Linked DNA regions of Oryctolagus cuniculus. The protein of the gene in region 1 purifies or fractionates together with the protein of each later gene. This does not show direct contact. Links are inferred from orthologs where the notes say so. Each region holds a gene or a part of one and is shown in the gene's direction. Other genes may lie near its edges.

Region 1 (4,187 bases):
AGTAAAATCAAAATAAATGAACAAAGTAAAATTTTAAAAAGGTACATGTGTACAATGGACTAGTAAGCCGCAATTAAAAATATTAGAGATTCAGTATGATTTTTCAATCTTGCCTGAAACATGTTCACTGTGTGTATTAAGAAATATGGAGGCCAGCGCCGCGGCTCACTAGGCTAATCCTCCGCCTTGCGGCACCGGCACACCGGGGTCTAGTCCCGGTCAGGGCGCCGGATTCTGTCCCGGTTGCCCCTCTTCCAGGCCAGCTGTCTGCTGTGGCCCGGGAGTGCAGTGGAGGATGGCCCAAGTGCTTGGGCCCTGCACCCCATGGGAGACCAGGAGAAGCACCTGGCTCCTGCATTCGGATCAGCGCGATGCGCCTGCCACAGAGCGCCGGCCGCGGCGGCCATTGGAGGGTGAACCAACGGCAAAGGAAGACCTTTCTCTCTGTCTCTCTCTCTCTCACTGTCCACTCTGCCTGTCAAAAATAAATAAATAAATAAATAAATAAATAAATAAAATAAAAAAGAAATATGGAGAGGGGCTGGCACTGTGGTGCAGTGGGTTAAAGCCCAGGTCTGAAGCGCCATATGGGCGCCGGTTCGAGACCCGGCTGCTCCACTTCCGATGTGGCTCTCTGCTGTGGCCCGGGAAAGCAGTGGAAGGTGGTCCAAGTCCTTGGGCCCCTGCACCTGCATGGGGACCTGGAAGAAGCTCCTGGCTTTGGATCAGCCCAGCTCTGGCCATTGCGGCCAATTGGGAGAGAACCATCGGGTGGAAAACCTCTCTCTCTCTCTCCATCTTCTCTCTGTAACTCTTTCAAATAAATAAATCTTAAAAAAAAAAAAAAAAGAAATATGATGGAATGAATACTGATTATGGCCCAATAATGGTATGGTTTCTTTTTTTTTCCTTCTTTATATAGCTTCAGCTTCGGAAATTTCTAGAAGGCCCTTATGTCATCGCCTAAGTGACAGTGACCATACACACAGGACAATAAAGAGGTGGGGGAACAACCCACGCCCTTCGGACGGCCGGGCCGGGAGTCGGTGACGTCAGCGCGGTTCCTGGAACCCCCGCCTCCCCTCCCAGTCCAAACCCGGCCGCGCCCAGCCCGCGGGAAAGATGGCGGCCGCCCCGCCCCCGCGGCCGGAGCCGAGCGCTCCCGAGCGCTCCCGAGCGTTCCCGAGCGCTCCCGAAGCCCCGAGGAACCCCGGGAGCCGCTCGGGCGGGAGCGGCCCCTCCCGGAGCCTGGGAGCGGCGGCGCCGGCGCGGGGGAGGGGCGGCCGGATGTGAGTGGAGCGGCCATTTCCTGTTTCTCTGCAGTTTTCCTCCGTTTTGGGTGGTGGCTGCTGCCGGGCTTGTGCCTCCAGTCCGCGGAGGGCGAGGCGGCGTGGACAGTGGCTCCGGCATCCCGCGCCCCGCCGCCCGTCGCCGCGCGCTCGCCCGCCCGTCGCCGCGCGCCCGTCCGCCCGCCGCTTCCCGCCTCAGCGCCCGGCCGCCGCCGCCGCCGCGGCCCAGCGAGCGGCCCAGATGCAGGCCATCAAGTGTGTGGTGGTGGGAGACGGGTGAGTGCGCGGCCGGGGGCTCTGGGGGGCCGGCGGGGGCTCGCCGAGGGTCGCGTGGGCGCCGCGCGGCCTCTGCGCGGGGCTCGGGCGGGCGCCCCTCACCCGCCGTCGTCCCGGGCCGGGTTGCGGCGTCCTGGTGGGGGGAGGGCCCTGCCGCTGGCCGGCCGCGGGCAAGAGTGGACTCCGCCCTCTCGCCGCCTTCCCGGGCCCGCGGGGCGGCCGGACGCCGCCCGCCACCCTGCCCGGCTTGGCACGGCTCTCGGGCGCCTGTGCAAATCATTTTATTTTATTTTATTTTATTTTGGCGAGAAGGGGCCGTTCCCTGGCATTTACCCTAAACCTCCTGGTCGCCCCCCACCCCCACCCCTCCAGCCCGGGGAGCCGGGGCGGGCGGCGGAGGTCCAGTGGTCTGAGTGACCGGAAGCCCAGCGTGCGGCCGCGTCGCTGCCACTTGTAACTTGGCCACTTGTGGGGTTCTTCGACATGGTCGGTGGCGCCCTTGGCGTGGACAAAGTTTGGAAGATGCTGTCAGGGGCCAGGTGTGACGGAAGCTGACCTCCTGCAATGTGGTCGTTATTTAAAAAAATAAATAAAAATAAAAATTAAAAAACCGAGGCCTTGGCTGAGCGCGGCAGGGATGGATGGAGTTCTTTCCAGGACCGCCCGTGGGGGTTACAGGCCCCAGAGGAGGACAAGACCGGTCTTATGCAGTTGTGTGTGTGTGTGTGTGTGTGTGTGTTTTTCCCTCCCTTATAAACAAGAATCCCAGTGTGATCCGAGCAAAATCGCGCGTCTCAGCATTGCTTGTGTAGCTTAGTGTGGGACAGGGACTCTCGAAGAATTACTACCAGTTTCACCCAGCTCTGAATGCAACTGGTCCAAGTCCAGAGTCGGAGGAAGAGTGCGCTGGACACCTCTGGTTCATATCCCAAAAGTGGCCTTCCGACTTTTATCTTTTTTTTTTTTTTTTTTTTTATGCCTCTTAGTGAATGTGTGATCTCTTAGCTTAGAGAACTGATGGGAGACGTTTGAGATTGTTTGTGCATTTCGGATGCAAGGAGGACAGTTAGGACACTGGTTTTTCTGGGGAGATGCATGTCTGTTGGATTCGTGTCACACGTGGGAAAGGTGAACCCTGTATAGTTCTACGTATTCAAATAAAAATTGTTAAATTTCATTTATTTAGGAATGTGTATGCTATGTTACCTTTTTAAAAGAAAACCTTACTTTGGCACTTGGGGAAAAGCGTTCGTGAAGTGGGATTGAAAATGAAGTCAGCGGATTATTTTAAGTGAATTCTTCCATGCTTTTGTGTCAGGCATCAGCAAAACGTCACTTTTTCTTAGGAACGTTTAAAATGACCTGGATTTCCCTTAAAAGTTATAAATGCTCCATCGATTATGCTTAGGATATGCTTAGCTCTCTTTCTAAGTGAAGTTGTGGTAATTCAGAACCGAGGGATGGAATGTAGTATTCTGACTTGAAGGTTTCTAAAGCAGGGACCCAGGGTGTTTGACACGAAGAGCTCCCAGCCCTCTCCTGCTGGTACTGCTGTTCCTTCCAGTGAATACTTGTTGAATGCCTGCTGTGTGTGTCTGTCCTGCCCACATCTCACCACTTAGTTGGGAGGTGTCTGAGAGCACATCACTCCTCCCCTCCCCCAGAGAGGTTCCTCCTTGGGAAGTTCAGTGAAATCATGCAGGGGGCTGGCTGGCAAGCCCCTCCCAGGGGCCAGGCCTCTACTGATTGCCTGGAAGTGACCAGGACCAGCACTGTGTGAGGCTCTGTGAGGGAGTATGAGTATTCAAAACACTGTTCCCGCCCTGGAATTTCCCGTCTGCTTTCTAATTTAATTTTTAAAATTTACTTGAGAGAGAAGAAGCTCCTACCCACCAGCTCACCCCCAACATACCTGTAACCAGCATCTGAGAACCCATTCTAGGTCTTGCTCATGGACAGGAGGGACCCAACTACATGAGCCGTCACCACCACTCCCGGGGTTCACACTAGCAGGAAGCTGGAATTGGGGCCTGCAGCAAGGAATCGAAGCCCGGCACCGCGCTGTGGGGTGCCAGTGTCGCAAAGGCTTGTCCCCACGGTATTTTAATGAGGGTTTGACATTTATGTTGACTCTTGACTGTCTTAAGTAGTATTGGAGTAAAGTGAACTTTTGCCAAAAAAAAAAAGTTACACTGTTACTCTCAGGGGTCATACGTAGCAAACATTTCTTCAGTAAAAATCCAAATCCCAAATTTTCCGTACCAAGAATATATTTCTGCTTTCGACTGGTAAGCTATATTCCTGATGATACTGCTGGAATGTTGTTTTATCAGATTGTTAAAGCTGTAAATATGGCCCCGAGTTTCAGTTAAAGGTGTTTAAACAGTGAAGGCAAAAGGTGGAGATACCACAAATTGGAAGCAAGCTGAGTTTTAACCATTTTATAACTGGGATCAGCTGGCTATTTTTTTTTAATTTAATTTTATTTATTTGAAAGAGTTCCAGAAAGAGGTAGACAGAGAGAGAGAGGTCTTCCATCCTCTGGTTCACTTCCCAAATGGCCACAACAGCTGGAGCCAGGAGTTTCTTCCAGGACTCCCACGTGGATGCAGGGGCCCAAGC
Region 2 (4,300 bases), on another chromosome or scaffold:
ATCTTAAACATGTGCAATTTATTATGTGTCAATCATATCTAAACAAAGATATAAAAATGATTAGCAAGGAAAAATATTTGTTTTAAGTAAAACAAAAAAATCCCCATAATAACCAAGTAAAGTCTGTGTCAGGGATGCCGTCTTAGTACATGCATTTATTCTCTCATTTAGCACTTTTAAAATTATTAATTTTTATTTATTTTGAAGGCAGAGAAAGAGAAGGAGAGAGAGAGAGAGAGAGAGAATTTCCCATCTGCTGATTCACTTTCCAGAAGCCCACAACAACCAGGGCTGGGCCAAGCCAAAGCGAGAAGCCCAGAACTCAACTGGGGTATCCCATATGGGTGATACAGACCCAAGTACTTGAGCCATCACCTGCTGCCTCCCAGAGTATGCATTTGCAGGAAGCTGAATTGGAAACAGAGCCAGAAATTGAACCCAGGCACTGTGCAATGGGGTTCAGTCATGTCAAATGGCATATAACCACTGTGCCAAATGCCCACCTGCATCCAGCACTTTTGAACATCTACAATGGTGGATACTAGGGACTCTGCTGGAAACACAATGTTAAACAAGTCCCCTACTCTAGGGTGTTTACATTCTAGTGGAGACAGACGAAACGGTAATAATAGACTGTTATAAGTGTTGTGACAGGGCAAGAAGGGACAGCTTTGCAAATGTTTAGCAGGGTTATCTAAACAGATTATTCAATAGTAGATGGTAGAAGCTGTACTGAAATTGACTGTGAAACTCATGAATGATCAGATGTCTCCCATGCACACGAAGGGGTAGTGATTGTGAATGTCATATATTTGCAAGCAGCCTTGTCAGTAATTTCCCAATAGTGTGACTATTTCAACTGGTTCTAAAAACATTTAGGAATTACAGCTTAGTTTCTTTCCCCCAGAGCAGCATTTTAAATGCAAAGTGCTTCTTGTGGGGAAACATGAACCATCCACACTGTAGTGTAGATAGAGGACAAATGCTCTTTTGTTTCCAAACGTTCTGTTTTCAAGTGTATTTTCGCCGCTTATGTGACTGTGTCTGAGCCTTTGCTAAGGGTACTGCAGCTGGATTGAGTAGTGGAACCAGGTCCAGAAAAAGAATTGCTAAAGAATGCAAGTAAACAGGATGTCAGATGTTATCCTTAGCCTATTTCCCTAAACATAGCTTTTTGGCTGCAAAGTAAAATGCCATTCTTCTAGCTTCTGCTTATACACAGAGATGGCTGACAGCAGGCACAATCTTCATTTGCTTGGCACGTTGTCACCACGCAACTCAACATGTTTTGCGAGGAATGATCATGACACACCATCTCTGTGAGACAGTATGAGGACATCCAGCCATTTCTTGGTAGAATTTTCTCAGTTGACCTTCTTTGAGCTCGCCACGAGGCTCAGAGCTGTCTGACCTAAGAGCCAGTTGGCATCTTCCTCGTAACAGAAGCCAGAATTTCACTGGAGATAGGCTATTTATTTATTGACAGTGTTCTCCCAGACTGGCCCACAAATGTTTCATTTCCAAGGTCCCCTGAAGTGCTGGCTCACCTCTGTTTTCCACGCACACTTGCTTCCTTCTCTCTCCTCCCTCCCCAGCGTCCTTCTCACTTCCTTCCCTTACAGGCTTCTTGAACTGTTGAGTTTTTTTTTTTTTTTTTTTTGGGAGGGGTGTGTGTGTTTCTTCTTTTTTTATCGTACTGAATTTGTTTTGCAGATTTTGAAAAAGAAAACTGGTGTTACCCAGGATTTCTACATTCATTCTTATCTGTTTCCACATCTTTGAATGTGATCCCTGGGCTTTTAGAATCCCACATTTTGAGTGGGGTCACTGTTGTCTGAGAAAAGTTGCTTTAAACCTTTGCTCTGCAAGCACCAGAAGAGAACTCAGAAAAAGGAAGACGACAGCAGATGCAATCGCGGATGTGGCTTACTCCTTGCAGCTGCCCCAGTGAGCTGTTCAGACTGTACTGTCCTCAGTAATGAATCCAGAAGAGCGAATCGTGACCTGGCTGATATCTTTGGGAGTTTTAGATTCCCCAAAAAAGACCATCTGTGATCCGGAGGAGTTCTTGAAGTCTTCGCTGAGAAATGGGGTAGTGCTGTGCAAATTGATCAACAGACTTATGCCTGGCTCTGTGGGAAAGGTAAGGTCAATTTGCAGTGTCTTTGGGATTGCTTTCTACCACACAGCAGCAGTTCATGGACTTGGAGATTTTATACTACTCAGGTCATGGGAATCTCCTACTTTAATACCTCTCTAGGAGTTCTACATTCTTTCTTACTGGTTTTCTCTCTAGAAAAAGTCAGACAGTGAAATCTTGTCCTTTAGTAATTGGATCTCAAATATTAATATAGTAAACTACCTGTTATATTTCTGGCAGTAGGGGACAAGGGGAGCACTTGTATCACAAGGTTGCTCCATTATGGAGACGTATATGTTACACTTGCCTGGGTACTGAGGAAGATTTGAACTTGGAGGTACACAGGAGTCTACAATATAGTGGAATGATTTATAATAGATTTTGATAGTGTTTCAACAGTTTCACTGAAAATCAATGTAGATTTTCTGTTAAAAACTATCCATTGAAGGAGAGACTATTTAGCAACTAGGAAAAAGAATCCAAAATGTCACATAAAGTTTGTAGAAACAATAGAAGCCTAATGTGTATTTCAAGTGCAACGTGCATTCAAAGTGAAACTAACCTTACCCCTCTTTAAAAAAAATCCAAGATTTTTAAAGTTGGAAGCCCATGATCACAAGAATGGATAATTTCTGAAGTAGACATTTTATGTAAACTTAAACGTAGACACCTACAATTATTTTCTTAAGTTACCATAGAACATGATTGTGAGTACAGCTTTTTTGCTTTCTTGAACTAGCATGCATTTTTATTGAGCAAGGAGATTTACTTATAATTTTGTAAACTTGATAAAGAGTGCTAAAATGCAGAAAAATGTAAAATATAGAGAGCAGCAAAGAGAAAATGTAATTTTACTAAGTTCTCATGGGGAGGGAGAGGGAGGTCATAGGTATTACTTCCTTGTTTGAAAGCAGGAGCTAAGCTCAAGAAACTGTCTTGTCTCTCCATGGTAGTATCACCATACTTGGGCTGAAGGCATGAGAAAGACGTTTGAAAGTAGAAATGGCTTGAGACTAGAGCTTCGGTGACATTTGAAACTGTTTAGATTTTTGCATCACTTCCTTTAGTGGTTATTTCTCTTCCTGGATTGAAAGCAACGTTGCCTCCTGCCTTAAAAAAAACCTACCTTAGTTAATTATCAGCACATAATGAATACGGTCTGTTTGCTCTGGGATGACAATCTCCAAGTGACATATGACTCTGTTTCTCTAGTATTGTCTGGAGCCCCAAACTGAAGCCCAATGCATCAACAATATCAATGACTTCCTGAAGGGATGTGCAGCCCTTCAAGTGGAGGTAAGCACACTCAGGTTGCCTTCCTTGTTGCCAACATGATTTGCTGTAATGAGGATTGATAGTAAAAGTATGTGATTTATTTCTCACCATCGGTGGTCACCAAGTTAAACAGGTAGCATTTTCTAGAAGCCAGAGTTTGGATTGATGGTCTCCAGTATTGGATTGCTATCCTGTCTTTCCCAGAAATCAGTTGCAAAAAAACAAACAAACAAAAACACCTAAAAAAAAAAGCCTTTTAAATACAGCATCACAACCCTCAAAACAGGCTTACACTAAGAGAGCTTCTGCGGCGTACTACCCTACTAAGGGGAACTAAAAGTGGGCCACTGGCTGCTACAGTAGGCTCAGTGTTATCACCTTGAGTTGGGAAGAGAGCAAAGGCCATTATCACTGTGTCTCATTAACGCTTTAAAACACAACCTGGAAAAGCTTGGAGGGGACAGCGTTTTAGCATGGTAGGTTAAGCCAACATTTGCTTTTTTCATCCCTTATGTGCCTGGGAAGACAGTGGAAGATGGCCTATGTGCTTGAGCCCCTGAAGCCCATAATGAAGTTTCTGGCTTCTATCCTTGGTCTGGCCCAGACTTGGTTATTGCAGCCATTTGGGGAGTGAACAAGCAAATGGAAGATTCTCTCTCTCTCTCTCTCTCTCTCTCTTCTTCTCTGTTGTTCTGCCTTTCAAATAAATAAATCAATATTTTTTCTTTTTTTTAAGTTTTATTATCTTTTTTTTAACTTTTATTTAATGAATATAAATTTCCAAAGTACGATTTATGGATTACAATGGCTTCCCCCCATACCGTCCCTCCCACCCACAACCCTCCCCTTTCCCACTCCCTCTACCCTTCCATTCACATCAAGATT
Region 3 (4,239 bases), on another chromosome or scaffold:
CAGTAACAGGTCTAAGCTGGGGTCAGATCCAGGAGTGAAGAACTCAATCCAGGTTTCTCACCTGAGTGGCAAGGATTCAATTACTTGAGGCATCACTGGCCTCAGGAGCCAGAGCTGGGACTCAAACCCAGGCACTCCAATGTGGGCCACAGGTGCCTTAACCATTAGGCTGAATGTCTGCTCCCAGCTGTGTTATTTATGAACGAAAGACAGGCACAGCACAGACAATGAAGGCCAGTCTTTCAGTGTGTGTTTGCCAAGGGTCTTCTCTCTATTGCAGCATTTCCCTATAAAACAGACTGAAAATGCTACAAAGTCAGCAGATGCCATAACCACTCACATTTGGCAAAGTGCTAAGAGTTGGCCATAGATTGGAGAAAGGGGGAGAAAAAAATGAATCAAACACTTATAAGAAATATAGTCCTTCTTGCTCTCAAAGCCTTCATACCTACTGATCCTTCCTGGGTGTAAACTGGGGAAACACCAGGGCGGGCATTTGGTCTAGTGGTTCTAGAGCCTATGTCCCATATTCATTACCTGTGCTCAATACCTGGCCTCTGATCCATGGTTCCTGATAGTACAAGTCATGATGGCTCAGTTCACTGGGTTCCTGTCACTCACATGAGACCTGCTTGAGTTAACAGCTGCTGGCCTCAGCCTTGACCCAGCCCTGGCTGTTGAGAGCATTTGGGACATGAAACAGCTCTGTCTCTCTCAAATTAAAAAAAAAAAAAAAATTGTTTTTATGGGGAAAACACCATCTATGTCATGTACTGGGAAGACTAAAGCACATTCATGTAACACTTTACAAAACTTCGGCTGCCAGACACTGTTTTTTTTTTTTACAAATGTTAACACAGCTAATGCTCCCGGTGGGGCACACTCTTCTGACTCTGATGGGAGAACCCAGGACCACAGCTGGCGGGAACGGGAGTCGAACCTGAGCACGCTGGGCGCTCTCTCAGGCTCCCCGCCTTTTCACCAGGCCCTCACCTGCGCGGCCTCCGGGAACCGGCAAGCGTCGTCACCGCCGCTAAGTCTGCGGTACAAACCCTTTCTTCTCTTCCGAGCAGCTTTCCCCACCCACAACCACCACTCACACGACCCATAGAGTTCACTCGCGCCTCGCCCCGCTGACGCTCGGCTCCCTGCACACCTGCGCGTGGCCCCGGCCGCCAGCACCACGCCAACCCCAGGGTATTATTTTTGCGATGCCGTGAGCATTTTCGGATCCATGGAGACCTCGAGTTGGAAATCTGAGGCAGGTGACCAGGCTTAACTGTACATTTTTTAACATTTATTTCAGTGACCAGCTCATCATAAAACAACAAAAACAACTTGACAAGTTAACTGCCCCAAACGACACAGTAATGCATCGGCCTCTCTTCTCTTTCCACCAAACTGCGCGGGGCACCGACAGAGGCCGCAGGAAGTGCTTCCGGCTCCGCGACCTCCGCGTCGCCTGCAGCAGCCCCACCGTTCCCTCGCTTCCGAGTCCTCTCGCCGGCAGACGTGTTAACAGGGGAACTCACCAGGCCTCGGTACGGAGGTTTCGGGTGAGGGGTGGGGACTGTAAATTGCTGCCTTTCAGTTCCGGGACAGAAACCGCGCTCCAAAGTGCTTGAGTCACCAACCGCCGCGGTGACTCGCAGAGCCGGAAGCCGCGCCGAGCCGGAAGCCCCCGTCCACTGCCGGCGGCGCGTTGTTTCCTGTGAGCCCGCGGGCGCCAGGGACTACAACTCCCGGCGTGCTCTGCGACCGCCAGAATTAACCCTTGAGCGCCGGGGACCGCGGTGCACCCCGCCCCCGCCCCCGTCCCCGTCCCTCACCCGGACCCCGCAGGGTGAGTTTTGCGGGACCAGGGAGGGCTTTTTTCCTTTAAGGGTTGGGTGTGTGTGTGTATGCATGCTATGGCTGTATTCCCCGCTGGAGGAATGATTCCTTATTTTCCAGAAATAGGACAATTTGCTGTAATGAGATGAGTCGAGCTTTTGCAAATGGGAGACCCAGCATCGCTGAACCCCAGGGCCTAAATGAATTCATTACTGTCTTCCTTTAAGAAGGCTACTTTAATCCTTTTCTCACCCCTTGCACCCCCAGAACAAAAGTATCCAGCAATCCCTCCCCACTCTCAAACTCCCCCGCCCCCCACGACCCTGGCCCAGCGCCCCCAGCAAGGTTTGTGACCTGGGCCCCTGAGGTGGGGCTTTTATTATTTCTTTGGTTGCGGGGGTGAGCAACTCAGGGCACGCACAGGTGCTCCCACATCATTCTGGATTAGAGAACGTAGGCCCTTTGTCTCCCAGAACCGGCGGTAACCCCCAGGTGCCACCAGGGGGTCCCTGCAGGTTCAGCCAGCTTCCTGCCTTTTGTCAGACTTGGGCTTGGGATAAAAGGTCTCTTCGTTGGAAGGGTGGTAGTGGGTTAACGTTAAACCCGACCTTCACCCCCACCCCACACAACACTGGGCACCACCGAGGCAAGCGGAGTCCCCCTCCTCTTTCTGTTGCTATTCTTTCTTGATCCCTTGCACAGTTCCAGTTCTGGGCTGAGCGGGGGCCCACAGATTACACATATCAGAGATTATTAGAACAATGTGGAGTCAAGTATCACTGCTGCTAACCCAGGGTCAGGGAGGAGTGGCAGGGGTGGGGGTGACACTGCTTGATTTTTTCACCTTTCACCTAGACCCTCCTTTAACTTACCCAATTCATGCTAGGCTCCCTGCCCCCGCCCCCCCTCCACCCCTATCTGGGCTGCTGGATTCCCTCCTTTGCTTCATCCCTATCTCCGTGTGACTGGCAAGAAGCCGGTCCTCACCCTGGAGGTTAACTCCCAGATTCTGGGCAGTCTCCGGCTTCCTCTCCCTGGCTGCCCAAGGGGAACATTGTTTCAGGCAGCTCTTGGGGAGGGGTGAGCAGAAAAAAGAAAACCTTGGGGCAGGAGTCCTGAACCCTGGGAGGCCAGGGGAGTGAGGGCAGGCAGGCATATCTCTCTTCCACCTCATCCTCGCCACCACCGCCAGCTGGCTCCCTGCTCCTGCCCCCGCCTCTTGACATCCCAGACTCCCTGGCTATTTAAACAGAGATGGGTGCCCCCATCGGCACATTGTCCTGTGGCCACTGGACATCATGCCTCCCAAGAAAGATGTTCCCGTGAAGAAACCAGCAGGGCCCGCCCCAGGGCCTGCCGTCTCCAAGCCAGCTGCCAAGCCAGCAGCGGGGGCTCCTCCAGCCAAGCCCAAGGCTGAGCCTGCTGTCCCAGCAGCCCCCGAGAAACCCCAGGAGCCCCCAGTGGATCTCTCCAAAGTGGTGGTGAGTCCCTGGAAAGTGAGGCTAGGATCTGGAGGGGGTGGGTCAAGGGTGGGATACTGCCCCTGGGGACTAGCAGGTGCCTAGAAGGCAGGGAACCCGGGAGCACTGGGATGAGGTTGGAGTTTTCCCTGTGCGCCCCATCTGGAAGCACTCAGGCTTATAACGCCGCTGTGGTCTTTGCTGTTCTCTCCCTGGAAGCTATTACACATGTGTGTATGTGTACATTCACCCGCTGTCGGTGGCAGGGACCCTGAGATGAGGCGCACCTGGGGGGCTCTGAGGACAGTTTCAAGGTGAAGGGAGAGAGCTGTTCCCTGCCTCTGGCTGCAGCTCTGAACCCCAGGAGGGGAGGCTGAAGAGGGCAGACTTGTTAGACAATCACAGCTGGGGGCCAGGGGTAAATTTAGCCTTTGTTCAGCCCCCAGTTATGTGAGGGATGCAGGGCTCAGGGCAGTGGAGGGAGGGGAACAGGTGGCATGGGATTAACCCTGTTCCCAGGAAACCCTCCCCCCTGTAATTCCTCCTCTTGGGATTCTCCCAAGGCCTAAGGCTGGGAATGGGACAGAGGTGGCTGCCAGTTGGTGGGGAGGAGGCTCAGAGGGACTGCATAATCCTCGTCATCTCTCCTCACCTGCTCTCTTCCACAGATCGAGTTTAACAAGGATCAGCTGGAGGGTGAGGAGAAGCTGGTTTCCTGAGCCACTGTCCAGTCCCAAGGCCCCGGTCAGATCCTCTTGCTGTTCCCCTAACCCCGGCCCTGACCTTGAAGCCTGCCACATAGTTCTTTTTTCCTCCCTGGCTCTTCCCAGCTGTCACACATAGTTGCTGAGCCTGCCTCTGTCTGGGAGTGATGGGAGTCCTGGACTACAGTGATCCCTCCTTGTGTCCCCCAGAGTTCAAGGAGGCCTTTGAGCTGTTTGACCGA
Region 4 (3,500 bases), on another chromosome or scaffold:
GTCATCTGTTTTCCATGTAGTTATGGATTGAGGTATGTAGCCAAAGTGCTGAAGAACTCCATCCATGAGAAATTCCCCGAGGCCTCGGAGGATGAGCTGTTGAAGGTAGACTTCCGGGGGTGGCCCCGCCTTAGCTCACCCGGGGAGGAGCCACCACGTCGGGAGACGGCCCGGGTGACTGGTGGTGCAGTGGCCATCGGGACTGCTGCTCGGCTGGGGGTAGTCTGGAGAGCCCAGGCACCACTGAAGTGCGTTGCCATGAGCGCCTGGGGAGAGAGGCCGCATTTCTCACCAAAAGCTTCTGTTAGCTCTCCTGGTGCTGTGTGGTCACCTCCACGGCCTGCCCAGTGTGTGGTCACCTCCACAGCCTGCCTGGCCATGTGTGGTCACCTCCACGGCCTGCCTGGCCATGTGTGGTCACCTCCATGACCTGCCCAGAGTGTGGTTACCACCATGCCCTGCCCAGCAGTTTGTGGTCATCTCCATGGCCTATGCAGTGTGTGGTCACCTCCACGGCCTGCCCAGTGTGTGGTCACCACCATGGCCTGCCTGGCAGTTTGTGGTCACCTCAAAGGCCTGCCCAGTGTGTGGTCACCACCTTGCCCTTCCTGGTGGTTTGTGGTCATCTCCACAGCCTACGCAGTATGTGGTCACCACCAGGGCTGCCTAGTGTGTGGTCACCTCCATGGCCTGCCCAGTGTGTGGTTATCTCCACAGCCTGCCTGGCCATGTGTGGTCACCTCCACAGCCTTCCCAGTTTGTGGTCACCACCACAGCCTGTCCAGCGATGTGTGGTCACCTCCACATTCTGCCCAGCAGTGTGTGGTCACCTCCACGGCCTGCCTGGCCATGTGTGGTCACCTCCATGACCTGCCCAGAGTGTGCTTACCACCATGCCCTGCCCAGCGGTTTGTGGTCATCTCCATGGCCTATGCAGTGTGTGGTCACCTCCACGGCCTGCCCAGTGTGTGGTCACCACCATGGCCTGCCTGGCAGTTTGTGGTCACCTCCACGGCCTGCCCAGTGTGTGGTCACCACCTTGCCCTTCCTGGTAGTTTGTGGTCATCTCCACGGCCTACGCAGTATGTGGTCACCACCAGGACCTTCCCAGTGTGTGGTCATCTCCATAGCCTGCCTGGCCATGTGTGGTCACCTCCACAGCCTGCCCAGTTTGTGGTCACCACCACAGCCTGTCCAGTGATGTGTGGTCACCTCCACATTCTGCCCAGCAGTGTGTGGTCACCTCCACGGCCTGCCTGGCCATGTGTGGTCACCTCCATGACCTGCCCAGAGTGTGGTTACCACCATGCCCTGCCTGGCGGTTTGTGGTCATCTCCATGGCCTATGCAGTGTGTGGTCACCTCCATGACCTGCCCAGAGTGTGGTTACCACCATGCCCTGCCCAGCGGTTTGTGGTCATCTCCATGGCCTATGCAGTGTGTGGTCACCTCCACGGCCTGCCCAGAGTGTGGTTACCACCATGCCCTGCCCAGCGGTTTGTGGTCATCTCCATGGCCTATGCAGTGTGTGGTCACCTCCACGGCCTGCCCAGTGTGTGGTCACCACCATGGCCTGCCCGGCAGTTTGTGGTCATCTCCATGGCCTATGCAGTGTGTGGTCACCACCTTGCACTTCCCGGTGGTTTGTGGTCATCTCCATGGCCTACGCAGTATGTGGTCACCACCACGTCCTCTCCAGTGTGTGGTCACCTCAACAGCCTGTGCTGAGCTCCTTGTTGGGATCGTATCAGAAGTGGTCTGATTTCTCCTGGAAATGTAGCTAAGATATCAGAAGTGGTCTGATTTCTCCTGGAAATGTAACTAAGACAAGATTATGTAACAAACAAAGCAAAACGCCCACAGTGTACATTTCTGTCTCTCAAATGCTCTGGGCAGGTCGTGGGGAACCTGCTCTACTACCGCTACATGAACCCCGCCATCGTGGCCCCCGACGGCTTCGACATCATCGACATGACCGCCGGGGGCCAGATCAGCCCCGACCAGCGCCGGAACCTGGGCTCCGTGGCCAAGGTGCTGCAGCACGCGGCCTCCAACAAGCTGTTTGAGGGGGAGAATGAGCACCTGTCGTCCATGAACAGCTACCTGTCGGAGACGTACCAGCAGTTCAGGTGACAGGCCACTGCGAGGCGGTGGGTGGGCAGACAGGACGGGCGTCTGCCAGAGCTGGGCACCTTCTGTGGTTGCCACCAGGCATGGGAGGGGAGAGGAGGGAGAACAGGCCCGGCTGCCTCCTGGTCCCACCCACCACATGCAGTCGATGTCTTGTGGGTGACTTATGTCCTGTATGTGAGCAGGAACCCTCTGTCCCCTGTGAGCAGGTGCCCTCTGTCCCCTGTGAGCAGGTCCCCTCTGTACTGTGTGTGTGCAGTACCCTCTGTCCTGTGTGAGCAGGTCCCCTCTGTCCTGTGTGTGAGCAGGTCCCCTCTGTCCTGTGTGAGCAGGTCCCCTCTGTCCTGTGTGTGCGCAGGTCCCCTCTGTCCTGTGTGAGCAGGTCCCCTCTGTCCTGTCCTGTGTGTGAGCAGGTCCCCTCAGTCCTGTGTGTGTGCAGGTCCCCTCAGTCCTGTGTGTGTGCAGGTCCCCTCTGGTCTGTGTGTGAGCAGGTCCCCTCAGTCCTGTGTGTGTGCAGGTCCCCTCTGTCCTGTGTGTGAGCAGGTCCCCTGTGTCCTGTGTGTGATCAGGTCCCCTCTGTCCCCTGTGAGCAGGTCCCCTCAGTCCTGTGTGTGTGCAGGTCCCCTCTGTCCTGTGCTGTGTGTGAGCAGGTCCCCTCTGTCCCCTGTGAGCAGGTGCCCTCTGTCCCCTGTGAGCAGGTCCCCTCTGTACTGTGTGTGTGCAGTACCCTCTGTCCTGTGTGAGAAGGTCCCCTCTGTCCTGTGTGTGAGCAGGTCCCCTCTGTCCTGTGTGAGCAGGTCCCCTCTGTCCTGTCCTGTGTGTGAGCAGGTCCCCTCAGTCCTGTGTGTGTGCAGGTCCCCTCTGTCCTGTGTGTGAGCAGGTCCCCTCTGTCCTGTCCTGTGTGTGAGCAGGTCCCCTCAGTCCTGTGTGTGTGCAGGTCCCCTCTGTCCTGTGTGTGAGCAGGTCCCCTGTGTCCTGTGTGTGATCAGGTCCCCTCTGTCCCCTGTGAGCAGGTCCCCTCAGTCCTGTGTGTGTGCAGGTCCCCTCTGTCCTGTGTGTGACCAGGTCCCCTCAGTCCTGTGTGTGTGCAGGTCCCCTCTGTCCTGTGCTGTGTGTGAGCAGGTCCCCTCTGTCCTGTCCTGTGTGAGCAGGTCCCCTCTGTCCTGTGTGTGAGGAGGTCCTCACTGTTTGTGTGTGGGCAGGTCCTCTTCAGTCCCCAACCTTACCCTAAGCACCGACGCTTTGCCCTGGGGTGACCTTGCGTTGCCCTGGGGTAGTGGAGCATCCAGGCAAGGCTGTGGGAAGCTGACCAAAGTTGGTCTCTTTCCGTGTGCACATCAAAGTCACTTCCTGTTCCTTGGTGCCCCCTTG
Region 5 (3,500 bases), on another chromosome or scaffold:
TCGGGGCCTCCAAGCAGGTGGGCACTTGCTAAGGCCTGTGGGCATGTGCTGGCCACAGCTGTAGCCATGTGGTCATGTTCAGCGCAGCCTGCAGGTGGACACGGCCATGGGGCCCCGTGGAGGCATGAACTGCCCAGGTGCCAAGCCCCAGATGACCCAGCCTCCATCTGTGTCCACTCTTCCAGTTGGGATGCCAGCTGAAGCTTCTCCCAAGCCCGGGAGAGAATTCTCAAGTTTCAACCCCTGTAAGTGGGTGGGGGAAGGGACGGAAGCGTTGATTGCACAGTCCATGAATCCCAGACTCCCACTGAGTCTCATGCACTTTGACTCAGGCTCTGTTTCAAGATGGAGCCAGGTGGCAGAGCGGACCTCAGCAGGTTTGGGTGAAGAGCAGTCCCAGGACAGGCCCCAGGCCATCAGAGCACAGTTTCCGCCCCTCCCTGAGGCTGCCAAGGCCAGAGGCGGGGCCACACGGCCCCCTGAGTGCCATCAGAAAGCCCTCAGAACTCACCTCGGTCAGATCGCAGAACCTTGACCTGGCTGTCAGCATCTGAGCCAGGCCCAGGACGGCCACCGGGAGGCCAGCAATTGACCCTGGTCCAAACCAGCTGCCTTTCTCTCCACAAAGTGGCCACCGGGAGGGGACAGGTTCCAACAAGAGGTGTAAGGACAGAGTCGGGCACCAGGGGTTGTCCTGCATGGGCCTCTGTGCCTGTGGCCAGGCGTGCACCCCTGGGGCAGGGCCAGGGGTGACATCGGTGCCCGCTAGTGTTCCCTGGGCCCCTGGTACTGCCATGGAGCCCCCCATCTCCCAGCCCCCAGCCTCCCACCACCCAGTCTCCCAGAGCTTCTGCCTAAGTCTTCCCTCCTCTCCGCTTCTCCGTACTCCGTGTGCGTCGGCAGCAATTCCTGACCTCTCACTGAGGCTCTGTGAGTCGGACCTGCAGGCTCCACCCTGCGTGTCCCCAGTGAAGCCCCCTCTGCTCTCTGCCTCAGGGGCCCGGCAGCAGAGGCCGGCAGAGGCGCCTGAGCCATTGCCGAGCCCGCAGGCGCACTGACCCAGTGACCCGGCACCTCCAGAGCTCTCCCAGCAACCCGGCTGACTGGGACCCGGCCGTGCGGCGCAGGAGAGTTCCGGAAGTGGCCCTGTCGCCTGTGGCTGCGAGTCACTCCTTCTCCACTGAGCCTCACCCCTCCTCCCAGCCAGGGCCCTCTCCTTCCAGCCTCAGAGCCCCGGACTGGCGCTGGCTTTGCCCATCCCCTGCAGTGACACTGCAGACCCCGTACCACTACCCAGGCAGCCACACTCCAGGCCCACAGGTCAGGCCACAGTGCCGAGCCAGGCCACACCTGCCTGGCCCTCCTTGGGTGGTGGTGGGGGAGGGTGTGGGCTGGAGCCCTCCTGGTGAGCAGGGCTCATCACCTTTTTGCTGACTCCCGCCTCAGAGTGTTGTAGTAGCTGGGGCTCTCTGAGGCCTGATGGCCTGAGACCACGTTGTAGGAAGTGTGAGAAGGAGAGAGAATCCTACTCAGTACCAGCGTCGCACGAGGGGAAAGATGGAAAGCAGCAGAGACGAGGTTCTCCATGCGCACGCGCTCGCCAGGAGATGCCAGTGTCAGGGGCAGGCTGGGGCCCTGGAGCTGAGCCCTGCCTGGTCCCTTTTGCTCTTGGCCCTTGGAGGCTGCCCTGTGTGTCTCGCATGGTGTCTGACTGGTTGCGGCCGTAGCCTGCTGCTCCAGGACACCTGTGCAGTAGCTGGCGTCCCCGGGCTGTGTAAGCAGTGTGCTGTGAGCCCCCGCATTCGTGTAGTGCAGCTCCTGCCACAGGCACTGCGTCGGAGGTGTCAGCCGCAGAGATGCATTCTCTGCCGGTGCTGGGGGCCAGAAGTCCAAGGTCAAGGTGTTGGCGCCTGTGCCGTGCCCCTCAGCTGGATGCTGGCAGCCTGGCAAGGCTTGGCATATGGAAGCAGCACACGTGCTGCCTGTGTGTGTCTGTCCATCACCCTTTCTCAGAAGGACATCAGCTGTCGTTGTGGATTAGGGCCCACCCTGTGGACCTCATCGCGATGCAGTCATTGGCACAGAGCCTGTTTGCAGACAGCGTCGTGGCCTGGGGTCGGGAGGGTTAGGGCTTGAGTGCGGGAATTCGGGGAGGGACAGGGTTCAGCCCAGTTGCAGACCTTGTGCTCTTTCTGTCCCCGCAATGCAGATAAGTCCCCTGCGGCCCCAGAGACCCAAGAGCCAGGTCCTCAGCGTCGTCGGGAGCGAGCGGCGCTTCTCCGTGTCCCCGTCATCCTCGCCCGCCCAGCAGACGCCCCCTCCGGTCACACCGAGGGCCAAGCTCAGCTTCAGCTTGCAGTCCAGTAAGTGGGCGTCCGTTCCGCAAGTCCCCTTGACCCGAGGCCTTGGCTTCAGCCCAGGTGCCTGACGGACTGCAGAGGTTGGGGGCTGGGGGCGGCAGGCTCCTGTTCTCCTGGCACAGCCCCCTTCGCTCCTGAGCCATGTAGGGCCCGTGGCCTCCGGGTGTCCACAAGAGACATGCCAGGCAGTGTGCAGGGGCTAAGGGGCGGCACTTACCGCACAGCCTCCAGGGCTGCCCCAGCCAGCGACCACAGCCCGCAGCAGGGAGGCAGCCCCGGCCCCTCGTGTCTCGGGAGCCTGAGCCGGGTGTGGGCTGGCAGCTTCTTCACGAGGCTGATGTGGACCATCTGCCCCACGCCTCTCTCCCGGCTTCCGGCGGCTTCCGGCGGCTTCCGGCAATCCCACCGTGGCTGGGCTGGGGCCCCACGGTTCCCACTGTGTCCTCTCCACTCCAGTCACTGCCTAGGGGCTCCACCATCCATCCAGGGTGCGTTCAGCTCAAGGCATCTGCAAAGACTGTTCTGAGGGTCTGCGTGCACCCCTGAGATCCATCTTCCGGAAGGGTGCTGTTCATGCCGCCGGAAGTGGTACCCGGCTTTTGCCACTGTGTGACGACTCATCCGAGGGGACTCTGGGTAGGAAGGAGGTGGCAGGGAGTGGGGGCTGAAGCCGCACGGGGAGCCCGCCCCTTCCTGTGGCTGAGAGGGGTCCACGGCAGGAGAGCAGCGTGCCCTGCGCCAGGCGAGGGGCAAGTGCCCTTACCCTGGTTTGCTGTTGTCGAAGGGGAGCTGGAGAGATTCTGGGGAAGTGGGGTGGTGCCAGCTGCACCAGAGGCTGCTGAGAGAGAGAGAGAGAGAGAGAGCTGGGGGCAGGGGGCCTCCCCACATCCGTATGCTATCACCACATGATCTGTTTCTAAAAAACATTAACCTTTTTTTGTTTTAAAAAATATTTCAAAAAGACACTATTGCAAAATGCTAACGAATACGCTTTGTTGGTTCCTCAGTACTTAAATGTAGAATTACCGTAAGAGCCAGCAGTTCCACTTCTAGGCCCGCACCCCCAAAAACTGAAAACAGGGACTCAGGTAGTTGTGTGTGAGCATCCCTCAAAGCCTCAATCCCAGTAGCCAAAAGGTG
Region 6 (3,500 bases), on another chromosome or scaffold:
TTTTTTTATATTTAAAAAATGGAATAATAATTCTGATTCACTGAATTGTGAAGATTAAGTGAAAGTTAGTGAAAGCATCTAGTACAGTTAGTCTTTAGATTTCTTCCATAGCACTTTTTAGTGCCAGTAGAGAAAATGAGTTTGCCCCTTCTCTGTATTTTAATCTGGTGTTTATAAGTGTACTTGACTACCAGTCATGTAGTCCTTTAGCAGTGAAATTGCTGGAAGTGTAGTTGTGTTGGGTCCGTTGCAGAGCCTGTCTCAATGCTCCACATGTGCCGTGGATCCAATACTCATATTGAGTGAATTTTACTTGGAGAATGATAGAAATACTATTTTATTGAGAAGAATAATTTAAGAATTGTTATGATTGTTCGGTACTGGCATTGCTATAGTATAAAGGATTTAAGGCCCACCTTAAATAGAAAAGAAATTATGTACTTTTTTAATATCAGGAAATCACTCTTAAGATTGCAGTATTTTGGTACATTTCTTTTTTTTTAAGCTTTATTTATTTATTTGAAAGTCAGAGTTACACAGAGAGAGGAGAGGCAGAGAGAGAGGTCTTCTTTCTGCCGGTTCACTCCCCAATTGGCCGCAACGGCCGGAGCTGCCCCAATCCAAAGCCAGGAACCAGGAGCCTCTTCCGGGTCTCCCACGTGGGTGCAGGGGCCCAAGGACTTGGGCCATCTTCTACTGCTTTCCCAGACCACAGCAGAGAGCTGGATCAGAAGTGGAGCAGTTGGGTCTCAAACTGGTGCCCATATGGGATGCTGGGACTTACAGGCCACAGCATTAACCTGCTGCACCACAGCGCCGGCCCCTGGTACATTTCTTACTTTAACATGCTACACATTAAAAAGAAATCAAGTTATTTTTAGATTTATTTTAATTTATTTGAAAGGCAGAGTTACAGAGAAGGAGAGACTGAGAGAGAACTTCCATCTGCTAGTTCACTCCCCAAATGGTCACAATGGCCAGGGCTGTGCCAGGCCAAAGCCAGGAACTGGAGTTTTTCCAGGTCTCCCACATGGGTTCAGGAGCCCACTTTGGCCATCTGCTGCTGCTATCTCAGGGACCTTAGTAGGTACCTGGTTTAAAAATGGAGCAGCCAGGTCTCGAACTGTGCCCATATATCCATATGATACTGGTATCGCAGGTGGTGGACCCATCACACCACAGCACCAGCCCCATGAGGTTATTCTCAAATCATCATACACATGCTGGGGCTGTGCTAGCTACTGGTGGTGCTGATGTGCAAGAGTCAGTCTTTAAGAGCTTGTAGTTAAGTAGAAATTATTACAGTATAGATTAAAGATCCTGGCTCCTGCCTTCGGATCAGCACGGTGCGCCGGCTGCAGCGGCGGCCATTGGAGGGTGAACCAACAGCAAAGGAAGACCTTTCTCTCTCTGTCTCTCTCTCTCACTGTCCACTCTGCCTGTCAAAAATTAAAAAAAAAAAAAAAAAAAAAAAAAAAAGATGGAGAATAAAACTGATCACCCAGTACTTCAAATTGTTTTCCTTACAGTTTGTTTTACTGTGGCAGTACATGTATAGTATTTTTAGTATATATACATAGAAGTCAACAATGTTTAGCCCAAAATGCCACTGATAACCAAGTAATTTCTTCAGAGTTATTGTTGGGAGCTCACAAGAAGAAATAAACCAAAATGGAGAAAAAAGTTACAGATGAAAAGAAAAAGAATCTTAAGTTGGTGGGACCAAGGATGGCTGATAGAGAGAAGAAAAAAGATACACTTGTTGGGAAATGTACATACAGTTTATGTGTCATAAGACCTTCTGTGCCTTAGAAATCAAAGGTTGAATTAAAACCCATCTGATTGTAAAAATTAGACACAGAATGATAAAGGTAAATGTCACAATAGAGCATTTAAAATATAAAATATGGCTTCTGATTTATAAATTACTAAGGTCACACAACCTCTTCAGCCAGTGACTTTTAAGCAAATATAGTATATTAATTTGCCCTTATATTGTCATTTTAGTAAAATCAAATCAATTCTCCATTTTTGTTTTAGTGTCTTTACAAGATATAACTATGAGAAAAGCTTTCCGAAGCTCTACCATTCAAGACCAGCAGCTCTTCGACCGCAAGACTTTGCCTATTCCCTTACAGGAGACGTACGATGTTTGCGAGCAGCCTCCCCCTCTCAATATACTCACTCCTTACAGGTCAGTAGGTTAATAAATGAGAACATCTGCTTTTATCTCAGACTTCAGATTTAAATGCTAAATCCCCAAATACTGTTTATTTCATCAGGCCTCTGGCCAACACAGAGAGTTCTCCCTCCCCACTAACTTTCGGAAACCTTTGCTTTATTCATGAGATAAGTTTCCAAGGTTCTAGCATACAAAAGATAAGACCTATTCAGAGAAGTTGTTTTGACAAGTATTGTTAAGAAAAGCCGCTAACAAATTTACTAACGTTAATGTAAAGAATCAAAGAGTTGTTACCCTTTTTATTTAATTTATAATCAAAGGAAAAATGAAGAGTTTAAAATGCCACGCTTTTGCTTGTTCTGACTGCTTTTGATCTATTTGTATTAATGTTTTACATAATAGGTAGTAGGTCTTTTAAAAATACCATTTAAACTAATTCAGCCTTTCTTTGGAATCCTTTTACATGATTTATTAAATGTATAATTGAAGATGTACAAAACATATCCTGGTATTCAAATAGTTATGTGAAAGTGCAGGTCATTGACTAAGTTTTACTGTCAGAATGACTATTCAGTGCTATCATTTGGATTTAGTAAGATTTTGTGCTGGCAAAAATTATAAAATTTTTCTACTACAAGTGATGTTACTATCTTTTCAGACTTTTTACCTTTGGCAGAACTATTTGTAATTATTCTAATGTCCAAAGGCATTTCAGAAAATTTGGTATGCAGAAGTTAGATATGAAATTTGCCCAACTGTATTTTAAATTATTAGTACCAACTCTGAAAAGCATTTGGTTAATTTCCATTCTGATCTCTGAGAAATTTTCTAGTGCTATGATATTCTAATTTATTTTGGCAGTATTTTAATTCATTCTATGTTTTATTAACATGAGAGAAAAATTTTAGTAAAATTATTTCTATTCTGGTTGTTGCTCTGTGTCTTACTTTTGTGTGTTTTAATTGACATTTTGTGTTTCAGAGATGATGGTAAAGAAGGTTTGAAGTTTTATACCAATCCTTCATATTTCTTTGATTTATGGAAAGAAAAAATGTTGCAAGATACAGAGGATAAGAGAAAGGAAAAGAGAAAGCAAAAGGTATTATAAGAGATTCAAAAAAATTGCAGTCATTTTTGGTGTATTTGTTTTATTGGGGCTATATAATCAAATACTGGTCTTTGTAAGATCGTAGTCTAATGGTGAACAAATGAGCATTTAGATTATTATACCATTGGGTAAGTATGATAACAGAGGTATATATGGAGGATTTGTTTAGCACAATGTAGCTGGCAGATGGCACTGGTAGATACTTCCAAC
Region 7 (3,944 bases), on another chromosome or scaffold:
ACTGTGTGACATTTCCAGGCCTGTCCTAGCTGAAACAGATATCTTTGTTTTTCAAAAGGTGTTGCTTTTTGGCTATCAACAGTAGCCTGCCCTTCCCAGCTTCTATTTGAATCTCCTCTCCAAGCACAAGATCACCTCTTTCAGAGCTCCATCCTCCAGTGCCCTCTCCTCTTCTCCCCCTACCCGATTCCCCTTTCTAAACAGCCAGTTTTTAAATTTAGTCTGTGCCCCTTCAGGTGTACCCCCAGCCTTGCAGTTAGTTTCAAATAATTTGACTTCAGACTCCATTCGGGTCTTTTCCATTTTTGGATTGTGAATTTCCTGACCTATCATAGCCACGTATGTAATAAAATGATTTACTGTAGTAACATGATTACTGTTCAATCCACCTTGTGCTGCTTTATGATTCGATAAAGAAAGAAGCTCCAAATTCAGGAACCAAAAAAATACTTTGATTGCAAACACATTTTTTAAGTCTGTTCCATTAGTCAAAATTAATTTTCCCCTCATAGCCAAGCACATTTAAAAAATATACTCTCCAGTCATAAACCTAAAGCTCAACTCAATTTTTTTCAGTAATTGTAAATATTTAATGTACGATATAAATAAGGTATGACCTGTTTGCGTGAATTTCTTTTGTTCCGGAAAAGATCGGTAGTACGATTATGTAAAAGTTAAACATCTCAGTTTCTCATTTCAAACCGTCCGGGAGACTTTTCAGGAGCGAGTGGGAAACGTGCACTTCTGCGCGCCTGCTTCTCCGAGTTTCCATCCACACTGACAAGATGTCACCAAAAGTATGCCACACACAGGCAGGCACCGCGCAGTCTCTCCTTGCGTCTGAATGTGAAAAGTCCCTAAACCGGAGCCGGTTTTCATCCGTTCTTCCGCGACTCCGGGCTTCCGAGGCCGTGGTCGAACGTGAGCAGTGGGGGCAAACTGGACTTGCGACCGCGCAGACATCTTTCTGACGCCTGGGTTGCCCATACCGGGCATCTGTCCCTGCCTGCTCCTGGGCTCGCTCCACCCCTGCCGGGTGATGCACAGCAAAAACACGCGCTCTTCCCAGGACGCCTCTGGCGGGTGCATCGGGCTGGGCAAACGTGGCCCTAGGTGGCAGGTCTCTGCCCAAGCAGCGGAGCCCGGGGGCAAGGCTGGCGCGCTCGCCCTCGGTTCCCCCTGGCACTCCCCGCCCGCCGCTGCCTGAACCTCGGGGATGTGCCTGGACCCGGCGCCGCGCACGTCCCGGCCAACTGCGCGCCCAACAAGCCCCTGGCGCGCGGCCAGGAGGCTCCCTCCCAGCCACCGCCCGCCCCCCCGCCAGCGCCTTTTTTTTTTTTTTTCCTCCCCCGGTACAATACAAGATCTTCCTTCCTCAGTTCTCTTAAATCACAGCCCGGGGAAACCTCCTCAGAGGCTCCGTGCAGCCACGCGCCAGCATGTCTGGGGGCAAATACGTAGACTCCGAGGTAGGCTATGGTGGGGACGCGCCGCCCGGGGCGCGCGGGGAGTGCCTGCCCCTACCCGCTCCCACTCCACAAATATTCCGGCTGCTTTCCTCCTTGTCCCGGCCCCGTCTCCACTTGGGAGCACTCCTGTCGCGTTGGCACCTTGGAGGAATGGGCCTGGGCGGGGAGGTGAAGAGAAGCCAGGAATGTTTTCTAGGTTCCTGCTGGGGAGGAGGCCAGAGGAGCCCGGGAGATAGAGGGTGGGATGGGGGGGGGGGGGACAAGGGTCGCAATCCTCAAGTTTGGTTTGCCCCTTAGGGGCACGTATTCTACATGCGTGCGCCCTTGTTGCGAGACCCTCCACGGAGCTGAAGCGCTGGAGGCTGGGGTGGGGGCGGGCGTCCTTTATCCGCAGTCCTGGGGACAGTCCCCGCGAGTCCCCGCCAGGAGCCTGGCGCAGCTGCCCCGCGGCGGCGCGCGTGTGTTTGCTCTCTCCAAAGTTCTTGGGCCGTCTCAAGGACCCTTGCCGCCTCTCGGCGCCTGTCGGGGGTGCTCCGCGAGGGGTGGGCCTCCTCCTAACCCCAACCACCACCCGCGCTGGGTGCGGACACCCGGTTTTCCCAAACGCAGCGGTTGCTCCGCCACCCGCCGGCAGCCTGGGAACGACCTGAGGGTGGTGGGTCCGGGCGGTGGTGCAGGTGACAACTACTTCCAGGGGGATCTGGCACTTGGTGCGGACCAGAGGTGGGGGGGGGGGGCGTGGGAGCTTGTGACAACCACCTCCCCACGCAGGTCGGGGGGATCCGAGGAGGGACAAGCGAACGCCAAGGAAAGGGGTGCAGGGGACGCGGGCAGGTGCGAGAGGGACGCGGAGCAGCAGCAAAAAAACGGGGACGTTCCGTGGCTCTGGAGGTTCCCGCCGTATCTTCAGGATTAAGCAGGAAGGGGTTATGGGGCCGGGAGGTGACAGGGGTCCGGGGCGGAGAAACGGAGCAGGTGCAGGCCTCTGGGTATAGGGGCCGGAGCGCAGCCTTAGATCGGCCCCCTCCCCGCAGTGGTCCCCGCGGGGCGACGCGGGCCAGGCGTGCGCGGGGCGGGGGCCCGGGCTGGCCGCGCCGCGGGGTTTGCCCTGACCCCTGGCGGCGGGCGGGGGAGGCCGGCGCTCCCTGCCTGGTACCGAGGGGTGTGGTGTCGTCTCCGCGATCCTCTTAAAAAGCTGGCGGCGCGCAGGAGTTTTCTGTGCGCTGAGCGGCCGCTGTCGACGAGGTCAGTTGGATTTCGAACTCCAAGTGCCCCTGGTCGCTAGGCTGCCTTCTTCTGACCGCTTGCTTTCCTTTTTGAATTATTCTTCCCACTGCGGTTGTCACCCTCCCCAGGGACATCTCTACACTGTTCCCATCCGGGAACAGGGCAACATCTACAAGCCCAACAACAAGGCCATGGCCGACGAGGTGAACGAGAAGCAAGTGTACGACGCGCACACCAAGGAAATCGACCTGGTCAACCGCGACCCCAAGCATCTCAACGACGACGTGGTCAAGGTAGGCTGAGGCGCCGGGTGAGCCAGGGCCGTCGCGGGAGGGGGCGCCGTCGCCGTCGCAGCCACACAGCACCCCTCGGGCCAGGCGCTGGGCACCCTCCAGGGACTGCGACGCCACGCACGGTGTCCCGGGGGCTCCATGTGCCTGGGCTCCTGCTGTGGCCAGAAATGTCACCTCGCCCTTCTCCCCTGCTGCTGGTGGGTTCAGCTGCACTTTAGCTAACGCGAGTTCTGTAGGAGTTTGTACTTTGCAGCCTGGCAAATGAACCTCCTCAGCAAGAGACCAGCCGGCACTCCTTGGGAGGCTTGTGTTCCACTCTCAGGCTGAAGGTCCAGTGACAGGTCCCGTTATACAGGGAATTAAGGCAGTCAGATAATTGAGGTGGGTCTTGTGCCAGGGTGAGTCAGAACACAGAACCGTTATGTTTCCCTGGCTAAAATCATCAGAAGTGGTTTTCCTTAAAATAATTAAATCAGTGCAAATGCTGAGGACGCAGGATACAACCAGGAAACTGAGCAGATTTACAAAGCCAAAAATAATGTGTCCCCTCTTGATTTCCCTTCTACACTCCTCTGGTTGGTGTAGCAAGCTGCTTCTGTAATGTCTCCCTACGCCAGGTTGGATATCCTTGTTCTACTTTCAGGATGTGCTTGGTGAGATTAAAAGCAGATGGACCAACTGGATCATTGCATACATTTAAGTCTGACTCTGTCAGTTTTTTTTTTAATTATTATTATGTTATTCAACTTTGACCCTTTTGGTAAATTTAGTTGGAGGAATTTATTATCTGAAGCCATCTGGGTTGGGAAATCATGGGCTTGAGCCATCCTTGGCAGGGGGTTCTCCTTGAGGATTGGGGAAGGCCAAGGAGACTCCCAGCTCCCAGAATGAGTGTGTGAAGACCCAGTTCTGCAAGACCCCAGGCAGGTGAGCAGTTCCCACCCACCTGGCTTCC

The links.
Region 2: the proteins of RAC1 (region 1) and ARHGEF6 purify together in Homo sapiens (affinity purification with mass spectrometry; 3 studies listed by BioGRID, with this or other methods). This does not show direct contact. The link is inferred for Oryctolagus cuniculus from reciprocal best matches to the Homo sapiens genes RAC1 and ARHGEF6.
Region 3: the proteins of RAC1 (region 1) and myosin light chain 6B purify together in Homo sapiens (affinity purification with mass spectrometry; 3 studies listed by BioGRID and IntAct, with this or other methods). This does not show direct contact. The link is inferred for Oryctolagus cuniculus from reciprocal best matches to the Homo sapiens genes RAC1 and MYL6B.
Region 4: the proteins of RAC1 (region 1) and IQGAP2 purify together in Homo sapiens (affinity purification with mass spectrometry; 5 studies listed by BioGRID and IntAct, with this or other methods). This does not show direct contact. The link is inferred for Oryctolagus cuniculus from reciprocal best matches to the Homo sapiens genes RAC1 and IQGAP2.
Region 5: the proteins of RAC1 (region 1) and DOCK1 purify together in Homo sapiens (pull-down; 6 studies listed by BioGRID and IntAct, with this or other methods). This does not show direct contact. The link is inferred for Oryctolagus cuniculus from reciprocal best matches to the Homo sapiens genes RAC1 and DOCK1.
Region 6: the proteins of RAC1 (region 1) and WASF1 purify together in Homo sapiens (affinity purification with western blotting; 3 studies listed by BioGRID and IntAct, with this or other methods). This does not show direct contact. The link is inferred for Oryctolagus cuniculus from reciprocal best matches to the Homo sapiens genes RAC1 and WASF1.
Region 7: the proteins of RAC1 (region 1) and CAV1 purify together in Homo sapiens (affinity purification with western blotting; 4 studies listed by BioGRID and IntAct, with this or other methods). This does not show direct contact. The link is inferred for Oryctolagus cuniculus from reciprocal best matches to the Homo sapiens genes RAC1 and CAV1.

What each region holds. Positions count from the first base shown.
Region 1 is NC_091450.1:40,075,988-40,080,174, reverse strand, and holds the start of RAC1 (ras-related C3 botulinum toxin substrate 1), read left to right. Parts: upstream 1-1,387; 5' UTR 1,388-1,530; coding exon 1,531-1,565; intron 1,566-4,187. UniProt on the Homo sapiens protein: Plasma membrane-associated small GTPase which cycles between active GTP-bound and inactive GDP-bound states.
Region 2 is NC_091453.1:114,649,163-114,653,462, reverse strand, and holds the start of ARHGEF6 (rho guanine nucleotide exchange factor 6), read left to right. Parts: upstream 1-1,500; 5' UTR 1,501-1,978; coding exon 1,979-2,143; intron 2,144-3,352; coding exon 3,353-3,436; intron 3,437-4,300. UniProt on the Homo sapiens protein: Acts as a RAC1 guanine nucleotide exchange factor (GEF).
Region 3 is NC_091442.1:58,960,184-58,964,422, forward strand, and holds the start of myosin light chain 6B, read left to right. Parts: upstream 1-1,439; 5' UTR 1,440-1,541; exon of another isoform or gene 1,542-1,671; intron 1,672-1,686; exon of another isoform or gene 1,687-1,843; intron 1,844-3,085; 5' UTR 3,086-3,131; coding exon 3,132-3,351; intron 3,352-3,961; coding exon of another isoform or gene 3,962-3,989; intron 3,990-4,207; coding exon 4,208-4,239. UniProt on the Homo sapiens protein: Regulatory light chain of myosin. Does not bind calcium.
Region 4 is NC_091445.1:1,137,875-1,141,374, forward strand, and holds part of IQGAP2 (ras GTPase-activating-like protein IQGAP2), read left to right. Parts: intron 1-20; coding exon 21-105; intron 106-1,895; coding exon 1,896-2,128; intron 2,129-3,500. UniProt on the Homo sapiens protein: Binds to activated CDC42 and RAC1 but does not seem to stimulate their GTPase activity. Associates with calmodulin.
Region 5 is NC_091446.1:4,383,026-4,386,525, reverse strand, and holds part of DOCK1 (dedicator of cytokinesis protein 1), read left to right. Parts: intron 1-2,209; coding exon 2,210-2,363; intron 2,364-3,500. UniProt on the Homo sapiens protein: Involved in cytoskeletal rearrangements required for phagocytosis of apoptotic cells and cell motility. Along with DOCK1, mediates CRK/CRKL regulation of epithelial and endothelial cell spreading and migration on type IV collagen.
Region 6 is NC_091436.1:61,398,742-61,402,241, forward strand, and holds part of WASF1 (actin-binding protein WASF1), read left to right. Parts: intron 1-2,040; coding exon 2,041-2,194; intron 2,195-3,163; coding exon 3,164-3,281; intron 3,282-3,500.
Region 7 is NC_091434.1:151,971,519-151,975,462, forward strand, and holds the start of CAV1 (caveolin-1), read left to right. Parts: upstream 1-1,144; 5' UTR 1,145-1,439; coding exon 1,440-1,469; intron 1,470-1,882; exon of another isoform or gene 1,883-2,146; intron 2,147-2,567; exon of another isoform or gene 2,568-2,714; intron 2,715-2,824; coding exon 2,825-2,989; intron 2,990-3,944. UniProt on the Homo sapiens protein: May act as a scaffolding protein within caveolar membranes. Forms a stable heterooligomeric complex with CAV2 that targets to lipid rafts and drives caveolae formation. Mediates the recruitment of CAVIN proteins (CAVIN1/2/3/4) to the caveolae.